Linked DNA regions of Drosophila melanogaster. The protein of the gene in region 1 interacts with the protein of each later gene in a pairwise test. Each region holds a gene or a part of one and is shown on either strand. Other genes may lie near its edges.

What was found. Proteins that work in one complex are often made in the same cells at the same time.
Region 2: the proteins of TwdlM (region 1) and CG7763 interact in a two-hybrid assay, tested with the Drosophila melanogaster proteins (one large-scale study listed by BioGRID).
Region 3: the proteins of TwdlM (region 1) and mmd interact in a two-hybrid assay, tested with the Drosophila melanogaster proteins (one large-scale study listed by BioGRID).

Annotation. Positions count from the first base shown.
Region 1 is NT_033777.3:26,614,583-26,622,379, forward strand, and holds TwdlM (TweedleM), read left to right. Parts: upstream 1-4,535; 5' UTR 4,536-4,584; coding exon 4,585-4,599; intron 4,600-4,676; coding exon 4,677-5,528; 3' UTR 5,529-5,642; downstream 5,643-7,797. Other genes in the region: TwdlP (TweedleP), read right to left, coding at 6,080-6,742.
Region 2 is NT_033778.4:11,409,810-11,417,460, reverse strand, and holds CG7763 (uncharacterized protein), read right to left. Parts: upstream 2,952-7,651; 5' UTR 2,906-2,951; coding exon 2,837-2,905; intron 2,776-2,836; coding exon 2,146-2,775; 3' UTR 1,999-2,145; downstream 1-1,998. Other genes in the region: drip, read left to right, coding at 4,476-4,829, 4,887-5,033, 5,926-6,066; CG34054 (uncharacterized protein), read left to right, coding at 7,038-7,371, 7,456-7,607.
Region 3 is NC_004354.4:15,968,570-15,977,929, reverse strand, and holds the start of mmd (mind-meld), read left to right. Parts: upstream 1-4,862; 5' UTR 4,863-5,725; intron 5,726-9,360. Other genes in the region: CG42766 (uncharacterized protein), read right to left, coding at 484-507, 614-775, 837-947; Or13a (odorant receptor 13a), read right to left, coding at 1,224-1,298, 1,370-1,558, 1,617-1,724, 1,786-1,885, 2,438-2,869, 3,153-3,505.

The DNA of each region.
Region 1 (7,797 bases):
AAGGACATTCGAATCCTGCGAGCACGTGCAACTAGTTTGCTGATTGATTAAACCACGCAACATCGTCTTGAAAGGCCAGCAACTGTATACATACATATATACGTACGTACAAGAGCCAGGACGTTCCAGGAATTGTTATTAGATCGTTTGCTAGTTCGTCCGCCATCGTACTTTCGCAAAGTTGGTTCGCTGCGGATGCTGATTCCGATGGTGATGCTGATGCTGATCTGACGTGGACGGCACACGTGCTAAAGTCACTTTTAACGGAACAACACGGCATCACTTAACGCGCTCCCCGGTCTCGGAACAGCGGTAACCCCCAACCGCCAATCCCCGACCTCTGACCCCGTGACCCCGCCCAGTTCCCAATCCCGAAGCCCATGCCCATTGACTCGGACGTGACAAGTGCGGGCAATGCGCGATATCCCAGCATGGGCCACGATTCCTGCTCATTGTCATGTGCAGCGCATAAAGGGGCGGCTTCGCTGAATGGTGGGCGGGGCCCGGAGGATGTCGAGTGGCGCCCAGGAATATCCAATATGACAGCCCCTGGCGAAGTGAAACCGAAAGTCAAAGCTAAAGCCATTCTTAAAGCATATCAAGTATACGCACTCAGACCTTCGTTTAAGTCAAGCATGCCATAAAATCAAATTCCCAACGTGCTGATGAAATTACTTGCAAAAATATTTAACAACTCGAGTGCGAGCATGCTAAAAATCCCAATTGTTGTCAGCAGGCAAACACTCGTTTTGTCCTGTAGAAACATTAGACAATTGCCGAAATGTACTTGGCCTCCGGCAAGTAACAAGAAAACATTAAGGCATAACCCACTCCCATCCCAAATGAGAAATTGTTTGCCTCAATTAAGCAAGAGCGCTAGCCCACTCATCTGAGCATATTTCACACAACAACCACTCAACGGGGTGCACCTACTACAAAGTAGGTATTATGTAAATATGTTAATTCCCTCTCGGCCCGAAGACAAAGCCTTATGCTCGACCACCGCAGAGGGTCGAGTTCTGGTGACGTTTTCATTAGAAATGCAAATTGGCATGGCGACATCTTCAAGTTCAAGTTGCCGATAAATTTCGAGACGGGACTGGGAAAGCCCAGGTCAGCCAGGTGATAGTTGGATCAACCAGTTTGGACAACTTTAACGAATAAAAGTAGCTGGCTGGCCTCGCTCCATACTTGATTTTCCCTAGTCATTCTACTAAAGATTCATTCCGTTGTGAAACTGCTTTCATTACGTATACGCAGCGTTGGCCCAAATTTATGTCAACCAGCGAGTTGTGAACGGGCGCTATATTTAAGCCTATGTGTTCTTATTTTCTAATTACTATATATATGCATGTTGGCTGCGCCCGGTTCGCTGTGGGCGTGGTGTATCTGTAATTAGTGTTTTGCACACACATATTCATATCAAATGCCGGCATAGTCGCTGCTTAATAAATTAAACGACAATTTGCACTGGGACCGTGCTGTTGCTCGTAAAGAGTCCGGGATCCTGAAAACTGGGACATTAAGCTGGCATTAGGCAGAGGCAGGCCTGCAATTAAAATAAAATGGAGAGCTCAAGCGTCGACGACAATATGCACTATAAGGCAGACAAAAATGTGTTTTTTACTGCGCAGAATGCGTACTAAGGAGACCTCGAAAATAATTTATTGCCTTCTTGTGGGTGCCAAGGATCGCGCAAAAAGCCGCAAATTTATTTGCCGCTCTTATCGCTCTATCCATGTAGAAATAAAGCATAGAGCATATTTTTTTAATATTTTCTATATTTTTTCCTATTGTTGATTTCTTATGCCATTTTCGGCTGATGTGCACAAACAGAAATCTCTTGTATGGCTAACTTTTTAATAAATAATCTCGGCCATTTAGCTGGTTGCAAGCAAAAAATACATAAACACGCAAAATAATAATCAGCATCTGTCGTCGTTGCCGTTTGATTGTCAATACAAAATATTTATATCGCTAACACAATTTGCCAAACAAATTGGCCAGCTCGGCGAAATTTGATTTGATTTATTCCTTTCAGCACTCTCGGATAGGTTTTTTAAAATATTGCGTTTTTTTAGCATAAGCTTTAGTTTAGTTTCCATGGTTTGGTTCGGGTTTTTGCGCTTGAAATAATTGATATCGGCTATTTGCATATCAGATTTAATATATTTGCATATATTTCTTTTGCAAAAGAGAAACGATTTTGCGGCAAGCCAGTCAGCTTTTTGGGTAACATTTTTTGTTTTTTATTTGTCGCCAGGCATGCGGAAATAATTTTGGCAACTAAAACTCGTATCTAGAGAAGAATAGAAACGGTCTGCTCGTAAAAGAGTTCGAAAAGCCGGCAGCTCCAAACATTTTTGCAAAAGAAAGGCTAGAAGCAAACAAACTCGTTTAACTGGGGTTTAACTGGCAAATTTGTCGTTCGTAAATAAAGCTTATGATTTAAGGAAATTACTAATGCTCCAATTTATGGTGAGGCGACAGATTTGATTGGATTTTTGCACCTGAAAGGCACCGCCCGGTTTTGACACCAGCCAGGTGATAGCCGAATAAATTAAATGCACAATTTTATTCGTTTCGACATTCTGGTGGGTGCCAGTACAATGGCAATAAAATAATATAGGGGCAGTCTTGTTGTCTCGAAGAGAGAAAGACTAAAAATAATGGATAAAATAATAAACAGTGTCAGATTTTGTAAATAGATCGATTGACCCAAAAGGCCATTTACATAAAGTGGTGCCAGAAATTCCCTCCCGTAGATGTTTTTTGTCCGCTTGAGCCGTTTTTTTTTTATTTATTTATTGATACGCCAACGTCGTCCGACCGCTATTATCTTCGATTTCGTGCTGGAAACTCTTTTCCCGCGTTTTGACCACTTTTTATGTCGCTGCTGCGTGCATCTTTTATGTGCGTGTGGCGCCCGAGACCTTGAAATTGTGGCTGGGTTGTTTTATTATGCTTACATTTGATTAGTTTGCATATGACATTGCCACCAGCGACTAACTTGGCTGAGATGCTGGCCAATCGGCGAGCCGCAACAGTTGGCAGTGGGCAAAAGGTGGGGCCGCACACAAAGCCAAGACAAATTGTTTTTGACTTTAGGTTATTGCTTCGAATGTGAATCTTAATTGGATCCCGGCCAGCGTGGAATGGGGGGCATCATATAGCATCATTAGATATAGAACCATATAGAACTTGTGTGTGTCCGTCACTGAAAATGATATCATGGTTGTGATGTCTTAGCGGATTTCCTAACTGACCCCATCTTCGAGTTACTCATCGCTATAGTTATCCGTGATATCAATCAATATATATATTAGTCATAACCGCGATTGGCATTCGCCACTATTGATTTGCAAATCGGTTCGGCTATCTTAAATATGGATCTTGGGTATTTCTCCTAAATTATGCAAATCAAATCAGTTTTCAGCGGATTTGCTGCTGCCTCTACCCCCCTTCTGCTCGAAAACTTTGCCGAAATAAAATAAAAAACCATAATTTTTATGATATCAATAAACCATGATGAAAAACGTGATAATCGCTGATCAGATTAAATGGTCGCCTGGCGCCAGCTGATTACCGCCGAATTCCGAATAGCTTCGGGTGCTGGTCAACAGTAAAAAACCTCAAGGTCGCAACGGTTGTTAGCTTTATGGCTTCTATTTTGCGAAGCCGTGTTTTTGCCACAGGTTAAATGGCCAAGCGACGAGCTCCGGACAAATGGACAGATGGGCCGTCGGATAGATGGACGGATGAATGAATGGATGCGCAAAAAGGCTGGCGAAAATTGATTTCTATCCATTTCAGATCCATTGTTTTTCAACCCTACCACAGTCCACAGTCCAGTGTTCGGGTTTTATATGGCCAAACCCTAGAGCAGCCAGTTCCATACACCATACACCATACACCATACCATACCATATACCATATACAATATTCCAAATACCAAAGGGGGACGCAATAATCGCTGGGGATTCCCAGCTAGAAATATGCGGCTGGATCAACTAAAAAGTGTAGAAAAACCGAGTCGTTTTCGAACTCGTTTGGATGCTCCGCTAAATGTTTTAGCATACAAAATATGAAGAAAATCATTTCATTTACTGAAAGCATGACCATTTATAGTAGTGGCTTTTGCTAAACGAGTTTTCAGCCGTTTCCTCCGCCGAGAGCCTGCTCTATTGGATTACAACTTGACGGGTAGGGTCGTGTGCCTAAAAATTTTCGATGATGGTACTACGACTTGGACTGAGGGATCGTGGAATTAGCATAATGTCGACGCCAACATTTGCAAGAATAGGGCGGCCAGGTATCGATGCGCTTTGTTCACGTCGGCTTGGCCATTGTTTTATCGCACAAGCTTCGTTTTTCGAAGGTGGATAGCATTTCAAGAGACAAAAGCTGCCGAAGAAGTTACCAAAAAATGCTGCGGAGCCAACAAATACAACGATGGTAAAGTCTGCATGAACTTGAGCGCAGTTTAGTGACACCGATCGTTGGTTTTCGTATAAATATTGGACCTTTCGGTGATGCAAACGTCAGACACAACCAAGTGGTCAAAGTCAAAGAACTAAATTCAAAATGCGTGCCTTCATTGTAAGTATACGTTCGATCGCCGACGAAATACTCCAAAAGGATACCAAGGATTACAATGCTGTTTTCTTTATCTCCAGGTTATGTGCTTGGTGGCAGTCGCCTGCGCCGATAAGCTCGGCTACAACTACCAGCCCGTGGGACACTCCAGCTCCGGACTGTCCTTTGCTCCTGGAAGTGGCAGCATTGGAGGTGGCTCCATCGGAGGAGGCAGCATCGGAGGAGGCAGCATCGGAGGCGGCAGCATCGGAGGCGGCAGCATCGGAGGCGGCAGCATCGGAGGATCCATTGGTGGTGGTTCCATTGGAGCCAGCATCGGAAGCGGTGCCGGTCTGGGTGGTCTGAGCAGCATTGGTGGTGGAAGCATTGGCAGCATCGGAAGCATTGGTGGTGGTGACGCCCTCAGTGCCCCCGTCTCCTACAACGCCCCTGCCCCAACCGCCGAGCTGGAGAAGGAGTTCTTCACCTTCACCGCCAACGAGCAGGACTTCGATGAGCCCCAGCAGCTGGAGCGTGTGTCCTCTGCCCTGAACAAGGCCCTGCGCGTTGTCTTCATCAAGGGACCCGAGAACCGTGGCCTGGAGAACGCCGCCCTGGCCCTCGCCAAGCAGGCTGCCCAGCAGGAGACCGCCATCTATGTCCTGAACAAGCAGGCCGATATTGGAGATCTGGCCAACAAGCTGAACGCCATCCGCAGCAACAACAACAACAAGCCCGAGGTGCACTTCGTCAAGTACCGCACTCCCGAGGACGCTGCCAACGCCCAGCGCGCCATCCAGGGTCAGTACGACCAGCTGGGAGGATCCAGCCAGGCCCACAACGGTGGTGTTGCCCCCGTCCTGAACTTCGCTTCCGCCGCTCCAGTGCGTCAGGCCGCCGCCCAGAGCCCCGACAACTCCTACCTGCCATCTTCGGTCTTCCGTCGCGTCTAAGTCGCTCGTTTCACTCCTTTCGGAATCGAAAACGCCAGCGATTTTTGACTGATATTAAATCGTAGTTTTTGTTGACTAATGCTTAAATAAATTCAATTCTTAAATTTTAAAACCAATTTGACTTGTTGTAGTGCATTTGTAAAAACCAAAAAACTTTGCAGGCTGAGTTCATTGGGAACGAAACTTCGCAAGTTCGGATTTATTTGCAGCGAAATATTTTCTTGCAAACTTTGAAAGCGCACATAAGTAGAAGCACTTATATATTTCTTAGGAACTAGTTTATACTTTAACCATATTCAAAATTTAATACCAGTTTATGGCTGCTGAGATCTTGGGTTTTGAACAAGTATTTTTATTTCTTCTTTCTTCTTTCTTTCTGTTTTTATTCGATTATCGCTGCTATAAATAGGTATACAATTTATTTTGAAAACTGTTGCATACTTATGTTGCTTTCGTCAATTTTTAAAGGAATTAACCAAATGAAAATACAATAATTTACATAACCAAATTAGATAACTTTTATTCGAAAACAACGTTTAACAATCGATTTTCTAGTGACGCAGGCGACTCAGGATGTTGGCGGGTAGGTAGTTGCTCTGGGGCACCTGTTGAGGAGTAACGCGTGCTGGAGCAGCTCCCTGGGATGCAAAGTTGATGGCATTAGCCACGCCACCGTTGATGGACTGGCTGGAGCCGCCGAGTTGATCGTACTGCGATTGGATTGCCCGCTGGGCATTGGCAGCATCCTCAGGTGTCCTGTACTTGACGAAGTGCACCTCGGGCTTCTTGTTGGCATTCTGGCGCACGGCATTGAATTTCTGGGCCAGCTCGTTGATATCAGTCTGTTTGTGCAGCACATATATGGCAGTCTGCTGCTGGGCCGCCTGTTTAGCCAGGGCCAAAACGGCATTCTCGTAGCCACGGTTCTCCGGCGACTTGATGAAGATGACGCGAATGTTCTTCTTGACCGAGGCAAGAGCCCTCTGGAGAGCAGCCTTATCCTCGAAGTCGTCATCGTTGGCATAGAAGCTGTAGAACTCCTTGTGAACTGACGCCTGGGGAGCGGCACTATAGCTAACTGGTCCCGCCAGTGCAGGGACTGGGGATACACCACTGCCCCCAATACTGGTTGTCGCACCTTGTCCGTAATTATATCCGGACAAGCTACCGGCACTTGCCGCTGCCACAATGCTTAGAATAATGAGGGCACGCATATTGACCCGATGCCTACGAGATATTCTAGACGAATGAATAATATAGCATTCATTATCTACCTTTTATACCGCCAACGCGACGACGTTTAAAATTAGACTAGAAAATCTAGTCAATTGAGCCGTCTAGTCACTTTGGGGTCCCTCTGGCGGAACACGGCGATCATCGATCTCCGCTCACGAATCGTGACTCGCGAATGGCCAGTGGCTATTGGCCATCGGGTTTTCGGAATGCTGTTAATCTGCTAACATAATTTCGCTCTTAACACATTTAACACATTGTTGTGGGCAAAAGACAGCTTCAATCGTGCCGCCGACTGAGATGAGATTCCGAATCGAAGTCCGAGTCCGAGCTAAGATCCGATTGCGAGTCCAGTCGTTTTCCGAACTATCGTGATTCACCCATAATTGGCTTATAATTTATGCACAAATAAAAGAAAAATAACCGATCTCTTGGCTGTTTCAATCGGATTGTTTTGTTATATTTGCTTGAATATGTATACAGAACCGCTTATTTGTTAATGATTTCAACAAAAAAGTGATCGTCAGCTTAATAAAATTAATGATTAGACTTTGTTTTTATGGCTAATCAGGTTTCGATTGGGCATAAATCTTCATTGCCTTCGTATGTGGGTTGCACTTGAGATTCCTTTCTAATTGTACGTGACACACGACGGGCCTCGGAAACCAGGTCATCTAACAGTTGTTGGCATCTTCGCGACCTTGAGCTGTCGTCGGGAAAGAACCAGTTCCTCGTTGGCCGGGAGTCCGGTATTAATGCTTCCCGCTGGCCAAGTGGGTGGATCTAATCTTGTAGTCAATTAATTTGGCGGCATGCGAGTTGGCTATGTCAGATAATTAGTCCATTGATTTGTATGGAAAGTCTAGGTGAATATGATTCGACGAGGGCTTAAACTCATAAAGGAAACCTGCTCCGAACTGCCTTTCCTGATCTTGATGTCGTCAATTCGAGATATTTATAGTTTGAAGGGCACTTTTTATACTTAACCCATCCGCAAACAATCAAGCCAAACAAGGCGGACTTAATGCACCATTAG
Region 2 (7,651 bases), on another chromosome or scaffold:
CTGTATTTTTTTATATTATTTTTTTTATAGTTTTTTTTGTATTTCTTTTTGTATTTCTTAACTCATTCTTTTTTTTTTTTTTTTTTTTTTTTTTTTTTTTTTTTTTAACTAATGTTTTTTTTATATAGGGTATGCATGGGGGGAATATTTCATTAGCTGCCACAACGTACTTTTATTACTTTCGTTATTCTTTTTCGCGTTTCTTTTTTAAATGTGAAAGCCACGTCTCAATTTCTTAGATCAGATTTGTGGAAAATTTTTCCTGATCTGGTTTTAACTGTTATTACTTTACGGAAATGTGAGACAACGGTTTTAACCCGATAAAAAAGAATATCTGTTCTTCTTTGCTTTTTCTTTATTTCTCTAAATTTAGCAAATATGGCAATAAAGTTTAATGAAATATTTCACTCACCCTTGTATGCTCTTTATTAGTTTTCGTCGTTTAGGTTGTACCCCTACAGCATGAATATTCTATTGGGATAAGTAAAAAAAGGTGAATTAGTGTATTGTAGAGAATTTTTATTCATTTCGTTTCGGGAAATTGGGGAAATTGTACTATACTTGTTTTCCTTTGAATTGTGGTGTTGTGCATGTGTTTATACAATTTTTGTGCGCTATTCCATTTTGCAATATTTTTTCCTTGCGTGCGTGCTGTTACAGTTTTTTATTGATGACCTCTAATTTATTTCGGCACTGGGCACGGTGGTTCCGTAGTATCCCTTTTGGCTGGTTGCCTACTAAGGTACGGCCGCCACACAACTTGTTGGGCGGTTTTTTTTTGGGTGCATTCCACACCACTTAACGTATCCAACAAGCTGCCACACACCACCTTATCACTCTGGGCGCTCATATTACTCGTACTGCCGCAGGTAAACTGCTGCAATGGTTAATTATTGGTTTATTATACACAATCTTTTGCACTCGCGAATTGGCAAGGAGAGAAAAAAAAAATTTTCCCACAAGCCGTACCGCCGCAGTGGGTTGATCGTGTTTTAATTATGTTATAGGTATCGTACAACTTTTGCGCTCGGCATGGGCGACGTGGCGTCCTCCGGTAGCGGGTCGTTGTTTTATTAATTTAAATTAGGTCTTGGCGCAACATAGGTTTACATTTTTATTTTAGAAATTTTACACCTTTTATTGAATTATGCAATATTTGTTGCGCCCCGGGATGGGCGTAGTTCCCCCCGGCAGCGGGTAATTGCTATTTTATCATTTTATACACAGCTCACGCAGCACTTCTTTTTCATTTATGGATTTCAGATCTTAATCTGACTTATGCACACCACCACTATTTTTACGCACAAATTTCCACAATTTTTTCGTATCACTTTTATCGGCCGGACATTGCCGGTCCCTGCTCGGGCGCCAGTTAACGCAAGTTCCACTTGCATCAGGGTTCTCGGCACTCGCTGCCGCATACCTCACCTCGATATGACAACCAACATGCTGTGGTTCTCCAAATAATAGTCAAGATAGTTAAGAGGGTTCGAGTTTACGATTAGCTTTATTTTAAGATTCAGTTCGCGATCTGCTAGCGGTTCCGTTATGTGTCCGTTCGACACTGGGGCCTCTTCTCCCGCCCCGCTGCTTTTATATCCGCTTCCCCCGTTGACCCCTCACCCTGAGTGCGACCAACGGCACTTGTTCCGAATGCACACATACACAAACATGTTCCTAGACAGGCCCCGAGTCGCCTGCTGACGGGGCCCGAAAACACGAGAGCCGAGCGCTGGTGAGTCCTGACGAAGATCGCAAGAAGAGGGTTCGTAACTTACACGAACATGTTACTAGACAGGCCCCGAGTCGCCTGCTGACGGGGCCCGAAAACACGAGAGCCGAGCGCTGGTGAGTCCTGACGAAGAGCGCAAGAAGAGGGTTCTTAACTTATATATCTCGATCGGGGGAAGAGTCTTGCCAGACTTTTTGTAGCCAATGGAAAACCTTGAGAGCACGGAGAGTGCTGACACAAAATAATGAAATAGTGGTCAATTCATATAGGATTATATGTATATTCGTAAATAAAGTCTTATTCCAACTTGTTCGTTTTGAAATAAACATTATACTTATTTCCTCCATAAACCATGTGGTAAATGTCAGATATCAAAAACTAATATTAACTTCAAAGAGATAAATATTTTTGTATTATATTTCAATAGATTTTTCGCAAATAAAATAGAGATTGGCAAAACATGAGTTATCGTTCATGGTAGTTTTCCCATTGAATGTTCGGATATCCACACACTCTCCATCTTTTGTGGGTTCCCCATCGGCCCAACTCAAAAAATTGGCCTTCGATCCTTTGGTCACAGAAACGAATTCACTTTCGTTGAACTGATTGGTCACGTCGATCCAGTAGCGATTCAGGCCATTAAGTTGGTTATTGAATCTATCCAATTCCTCCTGACTTTGCAGACTGGCCAGATGGCCACCCATTTTGTGGCATTTATCCAAAGCATCGTGCCAGTTTAGCTTCTCTTCCTTTTCGATGTAGTAGTATTTGCTTCCCAGTTGTTGGAAAATTTCGTTTTCTTCCAGTTTTCTGCCCATTGCTGTACCGTGTGTCAGCAGTTGTTGCGAAGTATTTTGATTTTCCAGCTGCAAGTTCGTTGAAGTGCCAAAATTGTCCAGTCTTCGGTCATTTAGGGCTATTCTCGCTATTGCAACAGCTGCTTCACAGGCTTCAACCCTTCGTTGCAAATTGCCCATGCTCGCGATGCAGGGATTCAAGACACCGTAGCAATATGCAGCACATTGGGAATCGCTTTCAACGCCCTAAGAAGATATGTGAATGTAAATATTTAGCATTTCTAAACCACTTCTCTACTTCACTCACCTCGCAGGCTGCTGAATAACTTGAACTCAGACACAACGGGAGTACCAAAAATATAATAGATTTTTGCATTGCTGCGATTCTGAGATCTTTTAAATCCGAGTGCCAAAAACAGACTGACTTAAATGCTTCGAAACCAAGTATATTAGAAAGAAATCCAATAAAGAAAGAAACAGAAAATCTGACGCTGCATGATGATAAGAGATAGGTACTATGTACGACTTATCGCTCTGCACAGCATGTGGGTATAGTTATCTGCATACACAGAAAAACATAATGCAATTCATAATTCATAAAAATTAAAAATATATTTAACATTTTTTAATTAGATCGGCTTAGAACTAAAAAGTCACATAGTGTAATTAACCCATTCGAAATGCGTAATAAACTCGTAGCGTAATCACATAGGCCTAACTCGATTAGAGCCATATTTCATCGATGACTCACGTCTAAGTTCAGTCAGTCCGTCATTCGCGGTTTTCACACGCAGCCGGTCTGTCGATCTCGATTGCTTTCGTTGCATATATTAAATTTAATTATGGGTTTCGGGCTCGACAATAAATTTGATTAATTTCACGACTCTTCGAGTGTGTGCAGCTAAGACGAGTGGAGGCATTGAGTCGAGAACAATAGGCCTAAACTATTGTGGCTAAAAGCTTTAGATCCAAACGATTAGGTCAGGCTGAGTGGCGGCAGCAAAGGCGGCAACTTAGTCTTAGTATAGACGAAGTCGAAATTGCGCTGCACGCATGCGCATAACCAAAATGTCAAGAAGTTGTTCGAGTTGTAGTGGCTGCTCGGATTTGTGGCCTATTGCCGTTTGGGCCGCAAAACGCGACTCGAACTTGCTCTTGGCGGCATTTGTAATTAGCGTTTTGTGGCCGAACAGCCAACACACGGGCATTTTTTTTTGTTTTTTTCTTTTTTGCGCATTTATTAATTAAACGCACAGCGACGCACGACATTGGCCGTGCGTCCAATGCGAACTGCGAACCGCGAAATCCATATCGAAATCGAATTCGTATCACCAAAACGTAGAGAAACACGGCTGGAAAGAGATATCAAACATAGAAGCCTGCACATCGACCTTGGGCGCAGAGTGAACAGTGCATTTCGGGCTCCATTCATAACACTTGATCCAATCCAATCCAATCCAATACGATGCGATGCGATGCGAGGCGATCCGATCCAATGCGATTTCCATTTAAGTGATTCCATGTGATCTCTTCACGGGCAATGACTCAACAGAACCCCGAATCACTTTTACTTCCCAGCCAGCTCCACCTGAACTTTGCAGACACGCTAAACACAATAAATGCACTCGAGTGCATCTCACGTCTGACAAATTGCTTGTATCCGCTGGCAGTTCGATATGCAACGATATTGTGCAATGGAAAATTCGGAAAATCGCACAATCAGCTTCATGGCAAAGGGCAAACTTTGAGCGCAGCTATGGTTAAGATGTTGCGTTGTCAACTCGACATTTGCAAGCGCCGATGGAGGTGGAGATAGGCCATTATCTACATTATGTTCGACTGGGCCTTAGCCTCCTTGATTTGATCTTCATACTTTTTTTCCTCTTTTATTGAGCCTTATAATAAATATATTCTTGAATATCCTCTTATTTTGTTCTCTCTCTCAGGGCTTGGGCCACCTCAGTGGCTGTCACATTAATCCGGCGGTCACCCTTGGATTCCTGATCGTTGGTGAGATCAGCATTCTGAAGGCTGCCTTCTACATCATCGTCCAATGCGTGGGCGCCATTGCTGGAGCGGCTGTGATAAAGGTGGCACTCGATGGAGTGGCTGGTGGCGACCTGGGAGTATCCTCCTTTGATCCCTCCCTGAACTGTGCACAGGCGGTGCTGATCGAAGCGCTGATCACCTTTATTTTGGTTTTCGTGGTCAAGGCTGTTTCGGATCCTGGACGCCAGGATATCAAGGGATCAGCGCCACTGGCTGTTGGTTTGGCCATCGCCGCTGGCCATTTGTGTGCAGTGAGTACGAGGTGATGGAGTTCTCCGACTGGAGGTTAATAAGTGTACCATTTACAGATCAAACTGAGCGGTGCCAGCATGAATCCCGCCCGGTCCTTTGGTCCCGCCGTAGTGCAGGGCGTCTGGACCTATCACTGGGTTTACTGGGTGGGTCCCATTGCCGGCGGCCTGTTGGCCGGAATCATCTACAGATTAATCTTCAAGGTACGCAAGGGCGATGATGAGACCGACTCGTACGACTTCTAAACAGTGGCCGAATACCATATATGTATTTTTGTAAATGTCCGCACCTGCTTTCCATTCCCATCACACATTCGCTTTCCCATCGAATTCGTTTGCCGAAATTTCTCGTAGTTTAGGTTTGCTCCACCATCACAACCAAGCTGAATTTTCAACGCAATTTGTACCATTTTATTTTTTAAACAATAAGAAAGCAAATGTCTCGTTTAGTTGTACCGCGATGCCCCAGCACTTTAAAATATGCAATATTGTATTTGAGTAATTTTAAGCTAAATTATATGCACATCATCATTACGCGAATCGAAGGAAAACTGTATTGAAGCTTAACTAAATTGTACTGGGAAATCACTTTCCAAAGCAGCGAACAGGTGGATTACCTACGCTGTTGATCGCCACTTGCTGAGCACCTGCGAATTGTATTATGACTATGTGTAATAAAAAAATATAAAGAAATTACCAATGTTCATCTTTGTCTGAATGTCCTGGGGCTTCATTCATTCATTGCCAATCGTCATCAGTTACTCTTTTTTATTATTTCTATTTTTTACTTGTGCGTCATCCTTAAAGCAACGGGTATAAATGTAGTAAAACTAAGTCCAGAAATCAGGAATTTGATGCTAGCATTTGGGCTTACCAATACATCACACTTAATCATTGGGTGACATTTATACTAATTATGAAGTTTAGACCTATGCTGCTTTCGGAAATAAACTAATTCGGGAAATTGAGTATAGTTTTCCGTAATTCGGAAGGAGAGCATTCAATGGATATCGCTTGGTTTTGCAATAAGTATAAAGCGGGCGTTAAGCCGTATCCTGGGTATTTTTCTGTGTGGATGCTAATGTATACATTTCAGCTTAAGAAGGGCTGTACCCCATTTCAAGGTCATGAATCATTGTGGTCACTAGATGCCCTCAGAATCCCTGTAATGGCATGGTTCGCATTTTCAATCCTTTGCATACTACTGATGATGTACTGCGTGCTCACACAAACATAACGTGGATCTCGATACGTGTATTAATTAGGATATTAAGGTATTTTGGTTCTCTTTTTGTGTTTTTATTTTTCTTTAAATATTCCACCGGTATTTTAAGCTGTTATTTATTTTTAGGTTTGATTTTTATCATCATGGAGGAAAAGGACGTTTAATTAAGCCATTGCCATATTCGATCATAAAAGAACTGCAAATATTTGGACATATTTTTATTAACACTAAAATATTCTTAATAAGTATTTTATTAATAAATACGGGCTGGCCCTATATGACACGTTTTTACTCATTAAAATCGACATTCTTTGACTTATTATTTATTATTTATTTATGCTATTATTTGGCCGGGTTGCTTTCCATTTGAATTTACTTATTTTCTACATATAGAAATGTATGTTACACGCAATTAGCCGAGAAACGAACCTTTTTCTTTTGGATAAAGAATTTTTAAATGTCAATACCTAACACTAGAGGGCGCTAAAATGTTTGTAGCAATAGCCGCATAATGTAAAATTAGTCCACCGAATTTTGTAATTGTCTCCTTTTTGCAGGTAATAGTACCGCCGAAATAAAACTTTTTTTCTCTTCTTACATTACAATTTTATTTTCAACCATAATTTGTAACTACTCCTATTCACTTCATTTGCCAGCCTATAAAGACGAAAAGTCGAATTATAAAGTGTTACAAGGTAGGTTGCGCATGCGTGCTTACCAACCCGCAAGTAATTGCAGCGATCCAAAAAGCCATTTTAACCTTAAATTCTGATAAGCATTTTTCGAACCCGCTGCTCAAAATAAAGCAGCGTGTTTGCTCAACCGCTCATTTTGTAGTTTTGAGCATCTAAAGCCTCTCTGTCGATTGGTTTCTGTTATCAGTCCTCCGCTCTTTGCTAGCTAAAGACTAGCTAAACATCGAAGCTGGGGATCTGTTTTAGTATTTAAGCTAATCAGCTTCCGTTAGCACCGTTTGCTATAAAATGTATTTTGGCAAAGTAATTTCACTGTTTCTATTTTGTTTTCTGTTGGGAGGCATTTGGGCTCAGGATGTTATACCAGAGATACCAGAAGATGTTAGGCCAACGGAGCCCACGACAACTACAACAACAGATGCCACAAGAACCTCTACAACAAAATCCACCACAACTACAACAACGGAACCCACCACAACCACTTCAACAACGAAACCCATCACGACTTCAACAACACAAAGGCCTCCCTTTGAGCAACCCACACGGACAACCGAGATTCCTGGGGTGTGGATGCAACCGATAGAAAGATGCTTTCTGAGAAATCAGATGAAGTATAATACTTGTAAGTGCGATGGTATAATGTGATAATAAAGGGGACCGGACCTTGGGTGAATCACATTTCATCTGTTTGCTTTTCAATTTGCAGGCTGGCCAGTCCCACCGAGGGCCACTTGTTATCGCTGCTGCTACTACTACGACAGCCATATCACCGAATGTAGTAAGCTCCACCAAGGGCCTTGTGTGGCGTATGATTATGGCCAACTGAAAGTGCACGTAAATTGGAAACAAGTATTGTAAAAAGAAATTAAGCAGGAACAGAAATAAAAACAGTAAAATGCTTG
Region 3 (9,360 bases), on another chromosome or scaffold:
GATTTTTGGCAAAAAATGCAATATTTAAGATGGGTTTTTTGGTTATAACTTGACTAAAAATGGCTATAATGGCCAAAAGAAGTACAGTTATTTTTTAATACGAATTACCAATACTAAGAACCCATATCACTTTTTGACAGGCTTTGTGAAATTAATTTTTGGCCAAATTTTGGCATTTTTTGCAAAATAAATGCACGAAATCGAGTTAGAATGCTGAAGAGAGTATACAGTCGTCGCAAAAAGTTCACACACCTTCATCGTGAAGAATTGAGAATGTACGAAGCAGAACAGTGCTTTATTTGCTACATTTCAGGAATAGCTACATGTTAGGGAAAATTTTGAAAAATATATGTCTAACGCCATGGCGTCCATCATTTAAACAAATAGTTGATCAGTCCCTCAAGGAGCCACGGCAGCCAAGTAATACAGCACATCGCAGTCCAAACAATCAGCGCGGGTCGCAGCCCTGTCCCGTTTTGTACGCTATTTTACATGGATTACAGAAAGCTTAGAATGGTCAAAAAAAAAAAAAAAAAAAAATATTTCAATGAGTATGTATAGAATTTTTTGGAACATATTAAATAAATTTTTATGTTTTAAGTGTCCCAATTACCACGGCTACCAAGGTGTAGATCACCTGTGCCAAAAATCTTAACTTTAAAAGGAAATTGTAGAATTGAAGGCGTCTCGCTTGGCGCTCAGTCGGATTCGTGTAATTTCTTGGCCGGCGCATTATCTTCATGGAAACTTCGGCGAAATCTATCAAATACACAATCTGCAAGTTTGGGATAGTGTATTGAGTCCATCACATGCTGCTCCATCCATTTCTCACTCACCTTGTCAAGGATATCGATAGGGAAGTGTGCTTCGCAACTGGATACGAATACCTTTATGTAGGTGCGCATAACGTAGTAGAGCAAACCACAGACCCACTCGACGGAAGGCATGGCGAAATGATGTAAGTTAGTACAAATGAATTTACAAAACTTATAAAAGATCTCGAAAAGATTGTATGAATATTTGTTCCGTACTGACTGAAAGGTACCGAATGAAAAACGAACCAGATTTAGGGCATTAAATCATGGCCAACTAGGAGCGCTGGCTGTGCAAGGAGAGGGATAACCTCTAGGAGCTCCAATCCCAGCTTCAAAATTTGTCAAAGTTTCGAATTTTGAAAATCAGCAGAAAGCAACATAACCTTAAACAGAGCTCCACGTTTTTATTTAATCTAGTTTCTTTTCGTCGTCGAAGTAAACTGACCGCAATAATGTAAAGTAACTTATCGAGGTACTTAGAATCTGAAAGAGATGAGTTTAATTGTGCAATTGATATATATATATATATATATATTTTTTTTTTGTAGACATACGGCCGTAAAACTCTGCAAGGACAACGTTGAGAACTTGAAAGCCGTAATCCTTACAGGCTGTTGACTGCAGAGGATCATAAACCAAATCTGGTTTCGGATTCGCTTGGTTGTTGGCGTGAACGATTGTATCTCAATGCGATCGGATCCTTCCCACTGGCATTCATACAGAATTTGCGCTGTTAAGGTAGACTGTTTATCGGAAATAGTTTATTAATATATTAAAAAAAAAAACAATCTACATTCTTGCCTGTTTTATCAATGCGTCGCCATTCTCGCAAAGAACGTATAATTGTGAAAGGGCCGAGGATATGTAAATTATGAACTTCACATAGTCTCCAATGAACATATTTTTTCCCTTATGAAGTTTAGAAAGAAAAGCTAGTCATTATATTAAAATATTTACTGCCAATGCTTACAGTAACTATTTGAAAGCCAACCATGCAAATAAGTACGGAGGAAATCATTAGATTGGCCAGTAGAATTGGGTTGAAAAAGTCCTCGAGGCGCTTAGCAAAACTATTGGCAAAATCAAAGTAACATGTAATGGAATCATTGTAATAGAGTCGTTGTAATAGAATCATTGTAATAGAATCGTTGTAATAGAATCGTTGTAATAAAATCATTGTAATAAAATCATTGTAATAAAATCGTTGTAATAGAATCATTGAAATGAATCATTGTAATAAAATCGTTGTAATAGAATCATTGTAATAGAATCGTTGTAATAGAATCATTGTAATGAATCATTGTAATAGAATCATTGTAATAAAATCGTTGTAAAAGAATCATTGAAATGAATCATTGTAATAAAATCGTTGTAATAGAATTATTGTAATAAAATCGTTGTAATAGAATTATTGTAATAGAATCATTGTAATAGAATCGTTGTAAAAGAATCATTGTAACAGTATCGTTGTAATAGAATCATTGTAATAGAATCATTGTAATAGTATCGTTGTGATAGAATATTTGTAATATAATCGTTGTAATAGAATCATTGTAATAGAATCATTGTAATAGGATCATTGTAATAGAATCATTGTAATTGAATATTGGCACGATACCAACCTGATAATATTGTTGTGTTTTTCCACAATACGTTTGAGTCGCTCCAGCTGAATGCTCTCGGCCAATTCCGCATTGGAACCCGCAAATAAACCTGCGATTCGTTGGTGTAGCAAATGAAATTGGCCACAAGTGTAGGTTATGAAGAAGCCAAGAATGGTGTCCTCTGCAAACAAGGTGGTGACCACACAGATTCCCGCGTAGGAGGTGAAGATGTAGGTCATCACATATCGGATCCAACTGCTCTGGGCATCGTACGGAAAGATCATCTTGTAGGGAAACGGCTTGTTCTGTGCATCGAAGGCGGGTCCAAAGAAGATCTCCACCAGCGGCAGGACACAATACATTATGATCAGGCACGCTAGCAAGGATGTCATTATGCTGAAGGTAACCATGCGTCTGCGACACTCGGCGGCAACATTGTTTTTGGAAGAACTGGAACCCATCATATATTTATATATGTAAATAAAGATTTTCTTACAAATACAGTTTGAAGATGGGTATAGTTACTCAAAAGTCTATATTATCTCAAAACCACTTTAAGTGTCCAAAAGCATGCTTAGAAAGCAAAGTTTGCTCTTTTGCACACAACAATGTAGCACACTTTTCTGCGCATTTACTCAAGTAAGATTGCAAACCTCTATAGTTTTCAATGCTCTGCAGTTTAATGCGATGATCATTTAACATCGCTTATAATAACCCTAATGAATCGACTCACTTAGGTATCCAAATTTCGTAGGAAAAGTTCTCAATAAGCTGGCGGAATTTCCTCTGATTGAGGCGAAGATGGATGAGTCGGACAAAGTTCAGGACACCCATAAAGGTGGTGCAACAATTTTCCGTGGTGATAATAATGTCCGAAAGGTTGTTCAGCAAAAAGGCCGTCTGATAGCTGATTGTTATGCCCACAGATGCAATGACGTACCACGCCCACACGATGTAGGCGGTGGCCAATAAGGATTGGCTCCTCCATGGCCTCGATGATTCGGTTAATGGCCAAGAACCATTCAGTTTCAGCCAAACGCACTGAATGGGAAAGCTAAGTGCTTTGTAGGGATACGAATAGAACATGACTATCTGATAAATGCCACAGCACTAGGTACATCTTAAGGCATTTCTTTCATTTATAGCTTACCAACTGCGCCCTAAAATTACCACTTTTTTAATCATTTACCCTAATTGCACAGTAAATATTTTAGAAAGCGTTTGCACACAAGGCATATACTTACCACCTCATTAAGTGCCGAATATGAAATTTTGATCAAACGCATTTTCCAAGGAGGTGTGTGCCTGTGAAATCCATTAAACTATACTACTTGTGTGTATTTTAATTTTGCTTTATTTTGAAGAACAAAGTGCGTTTTGCTCTCGAAAAATAAACAGGTAAACAGGTGCACATATTTCAATTTTGTTTTCAATTTAATATATTCAAATTAAAAAGCAAAACTAAAAGTATAAACATGCAACCTGCGCCTGAAATCCGTAACACTTTTAGATATATATATATTTTTTTTTCAATTTCTTATACATATTATTTCATTGTAATTTTCCATGATTTTCCATTTATGTATGTTGGCTAACAATGCGGTCTGTATTTATTTTTAGGCTTTCATTCGCCCAAACTTCATTTCGAAACCAGTTAATTTAAATCAGGTCACTGCTAGCTGGGCGTAAGAAGGATATAGCTTCATTCAATTAGACGACGGGGGCGTGGCCAATCTGTGGCGTGGAACAGTGTGGACCCAGTTCTCTGTCCATTGTTCTGGCCAAGATCTCGACGGCCAGATAGACAGGCAGCCAGACAGAGATACAGAGAGACAGACAGACACGGCTAGATGGAAACGTATGTAGAGGCGTAGGTGTATACTACACTTCCTTTTACAATTACGCACCTTTGCACGAATACAATATACCCTTTTGCTCCACATAACGGACATAAACAGACGTACCCGGATTGTAAGACTCGTTGGGGCCAAGGAGTGGATTTTTTTTTTACCGACTTTCGGCGAGAGAGCCAGCGGCTGAGTGCCGAACACCAACCAACATCCATCCGAGGACCAAAAGGATGTGGCCCACACAGCCCGAGAGAGCCAAGATGCTGAATTGTGACGTGACAATAGAAGCGGAGAGCGAGAGATGTGGCCACTCGGCTGGGCTTGGTTTGAGATATATTGGTATGGGATGGGATGGCCGGGATTGGGAATCTCCCAGTTGAGATTCCGGTGCTCTGCGACTGCGTCGTATTTGGCTGACTGAAGAATGGCTGGTCGACTGGGTTGGCTGCCTGGTTTGCCTCCGGTTGGAGGCAATCGTTTTTCGCCTGGCCAAAATCCTGCAGACGTGTTCGAGAGCTTTAGAACGTTGTTTGCAATTGCGGAAAGCGGTTAGCGAGGCACGAGACACGGCGATAGTTTTTAATAGAAGAAGCAGCAGCAGCAATAAAAAAATAAAATAAATTAATACAAAAAACACAAAAAACATACAAAAACCAAAAAAAAAAAAAAACAAACAAACAAACAAAACGAAATACGAAAGCAGCAGAAAAGAGTGCAGATGCAGGAAATAGCCGTATAGTTCGCAGCCAGCGGAGCAATAGTTTATTGAGGAATAATCCCCGAGTCGGCGCCCAAAAAGATCCAACAAATACCCCAGAAACACAACTGAACAACCAGCCCAGGCAAAAGTATATACATATATATATATATATATATATATATTAACAAAGAAATTCGTTTTCAAATCCCAACACACCGTGAACTTAGAATATATATATATACATACGCGTATATATATATGTATATATATATATATATGGAAAAAAGTAAAAGAAAAGAGGAAAAACGAAATGCCGAACGGGTGGGCAAAATGTGAAAACCCAACAAATAACTACTCAGAATCAAATGTTTGATATAGTAACGTAACGAAACGCAACGCAACGCAGCTCTAAAATCGGCTACTAAATCAGCACATTCAAATCAAATATGGAAAATACAAAAATAGAATAAATATATATATATGTCTATATATGTGCACATATATGCGTGTATATGTATATGCTGATGGCGTAAGGATGAAAAGATCATAAAATACATATTTTATGAAAATTTTTTGCATATTTTTTTTACTGTTTGGCCAAAATAACAAACTGAGTGTGTTCATAAAGCAGTACAATGTAAACTTAAAAGCAAACTTAAACGCAAAACGGATAACAAATAATTCATAACTACTCTCCAACTACTGTTTCAATGGATTCTGGTTTTGATTTTTTTCGAATTTCCCGAATTTCCATTGGTGAGTACCGCAATTACGTTTATGTATTTTATATCTATCAAAAATCGCTACACATCCCATGCATATATATATATATATATAGTATATTTCGGTATATGTACATGGCCTCAAGGATTCCAAACTCTGGCAGATGGAACTGAAATAGTTTGGCTAGCTGGATAGTTGGATTGCTTTATGGCCGTAATTATACGGGGGAGGGGAAAATGTATACTTGGTCCAAAACACACACCACATGCCCAACATACTTACTATTATTGCGAATATGGTCCAACTCCCGACTCTCGAGCGGAAATGAGGCGCGGCTGACTGCGCATGACCAATGAATAATAGCGATACAGAAATGCTTTTATCCCACACTTTGTATTCCAATGCATATCTGGATATCCTCTCTCCATCTCGACGTCTCACCGTCTCTCCATCTCGTCATCCCTTCTCTGTCCATGCCGCTCCATTGGCATGCGAAGGAATTTGGAATTTTTTTTTTTTTTTTTTTTTTGGCAAAAGGACTCTGGCAATTCGAAGTGTGTCAGGACATCATCGCCTTTTTCAGCGTCGCTTGCAATGGTGCGCTCCTCCACCAACGCCAACTGAAGACACATTTGTTCACAATTATTTGGGGGTCTGGGCATGCGTTGCCATTGACCCATCTAACCACCCGCAGTTGTGCACGGCAATTCAAATCTCAACGTGCCCCAGTGCTTTCGATTGTTTTTAAACAATTAAATCCACCGCATAATCCCATGCCAGCCAAACGAAACACGTAACCGGATTTGAGATGATGGCAAAGTGATTCCAGGATGATTCCCCCTGCTGAGTCCTTGAGTTTGTGAGTTCTCGTTTAATGGTTGGTTAACTCGTGAGAAATCTGCGCTGGCAGTAAAGTAAACAAGCAGCGGGCAATTTGTTTATCAATCAAAGAAATGGTGTCGGAATTCCGCATTCGCGAGTGTGACAACGCCCAAATGTTTGCTGATCCATAAAGGAGAAGAGCTCCGCGATTAGATCGCCCTACCTACCACCACGCATCCTTCGAAGCTCGAACTTCCCTATCGTTTGGTAGCACATTGACTCCAGATGGACTTATTGGGGGCACAAATCAAAACGCGGCAAAACAATGGGGCAAAGACACAGATTAGGTCAAATAACAATGCTGCTATACACACGAAGAAAAAGGAATGAACTTGTGAGGGAAACTAAAGATGAATGGTTTGAATACAATACAGTTTTCTTTGCATACATTTAACGGACTGAAAAAAATCTTTTAAAACTGGTTATGCTAGGGAAAACATTATTTTTTCATATCCTGTTAACAAACATTTGGTATTTGATTAGTTTCCGGAATCCTTGAATTTTTCTTCGAGTGGCAAACTTATGGCTCTGCACCAGATTAGAAGCCATGACCTACGATTTGATATAATCAATCAAGGCTTGACTTGTTGCCTGTTCAATAAATAGTCAGGATATTCAGAATTCACAACAGTTGAAATCATTTACAAAACGCGGCTTTGTATGAGTAAATCTTTTCTGCGTGTGTAAAACTACAAAATGCTGCCCAATGCTAGTGAGTCAGATACTGCCAAAAAAACTTGTCGGTATCATGGAGTGAGCCAACTTTTTGAGAAACATAATAATGAAAGTTTTGTCAAAACGAATAAATTGGGAAACACTATACGATGGAGCTTCAGCTTTCCGTGCTGTTGTTACTCCATTTGATCGGGAATAGTTTTAATCAAGTTTTAATTGGCAAAGTTGCACAATGAGTGCAATCATTAGTCAGCAGACAAAAAATTGTGTGGCTGGCAAGAGGAATAACTCATTTTATTGGCCCACAGATCCACATCCGCACACATGTCTGCAGTTCCCATCTTTGGAATGCCGTCTAGTCGGAGGCTGCGCATTCGGTCTTTGGAGAGCCAGCCAGCCAGCCAGTCAGCCAGCCAGCCGACGACCACGACTCTCGCGTCCTTAATTTTCATCCCTTTATTTATTTATTTTCCTGTCAGCTGCCGCTGTCTGGTGTGTCTGCCCAAGGTTTCTGTTTCGCATTCTGTTTCTGAATTTGAATCTGAATCTGAGACTGAATCTGAGACTGAATCTGAGACTGATTCTGAGTCCGTTTCGGCCGTGGACGCCCACGACAGCGAGGGAAATATGTGGCCATCCGGAGAATAGATTAACAGGATACACCAGTAGTTAGGGACCTCAGCTCATCTACTCATCTTCATCTTCATCGCCCCTTCATCATCATCATGGGGGCTCATCTCATCTTGGGGCTTTAAATTATGCGACTTGAGTTGTGTTTGTTGGTAAGATGTTGTCATATGTATGCGACCAGCCACTTGGCCTGGAGAAGTACTCATCAAGGTGCCCAAAAGTATGCCACAATGTATTTAAAATGTGCATTCTCAACTCTTCAAGTTCCTTATGCTTGGGAATTGCTTGGGTGGTGTGTTTCTGAAAAATGGTCCATATATTTGTAATATATCATCAGAGTTATTAAAGCACACGAAGAACTGTCTAAAAGTATGCTACAATTGTGCGCAATTATTATACTATACTATGTCTGTTGGTTTAAACTTAACTTATGAAGGTTTCTAAAACTTCTAAAAGTATAAATAGTTAAGTTAAAATATTTATATGTAAAGCATACCATTTTTTCTGCTACAAATATAAATTACCATGTTTATACAATACTTGCATATATTATTTATGCCATATTAGCTTAGCACTTTTGACCGGTTTTTAAACGAATGACATAAAATCATTTGCACTAATAATGTCATTGGCTGGTGAATAAACTTTGTTTGGATACAGCTTTCTATTGGTCGAAGTTGCTTGTTTATTACATTTTTAAAAGTATATAATTGGATTTAGCTGAAATTTCTTAGATAATTCAAACACTCTCGCTTGCCATACGCAAATTGTGATATGCATTCATCTTTTTAATGCAATTAAATGTTATGACAAAACTTTGAAAATAAGTTACTTCTCAGTTGTTGTTTTATAAATTGAAACCATTCTCGTTGTTATCCTTTTCGTTAGTCCTTTTACTCCTTGTAATTTTCCATGTGGGCCACTGTCGCCTCCTTTTGCGGCAATAAATTTACTCACTGCCTTTTCGCCGAAATGACCCAAATTTCAGGATGCCCTCCATATAAGGGAAAATTCAATAAATTATTGCTAAGCCTTTGGAAATTGTGCAGAACCTGTTGATTCTGCAGCCGCCGCAACTAAGCGCTTAATTAAATTTTAGTCGGAATTTTCACGTATATGTATACGCATTTGATATTTTGGAAACAGGCAAAGTCAAAAAAAAAAAAAAAAACTTATCATATATAATATTATTGCCAATAAGATACTATTTATATTACGTTTTATTGAAGTCGAGCACAATTTCAATATCCCTGGATTGCATAAGCTTATGTTTGAAACAAGTAATTTGAAACTGATTGCTTGCTGGGGCAAAAGAGAAATCACAGTAATTGCAGTAAAAGCAAACATTTAATTTGCACGAACGAACACTTAAACAAATTAGCTGACTACACTTAGAAAAACGTATGATACAAAACAAAAACATTACTCGAATATCATTTGAAGCTAAGTGTAAACTACATTTAAGAGAAATTGTCACAAAT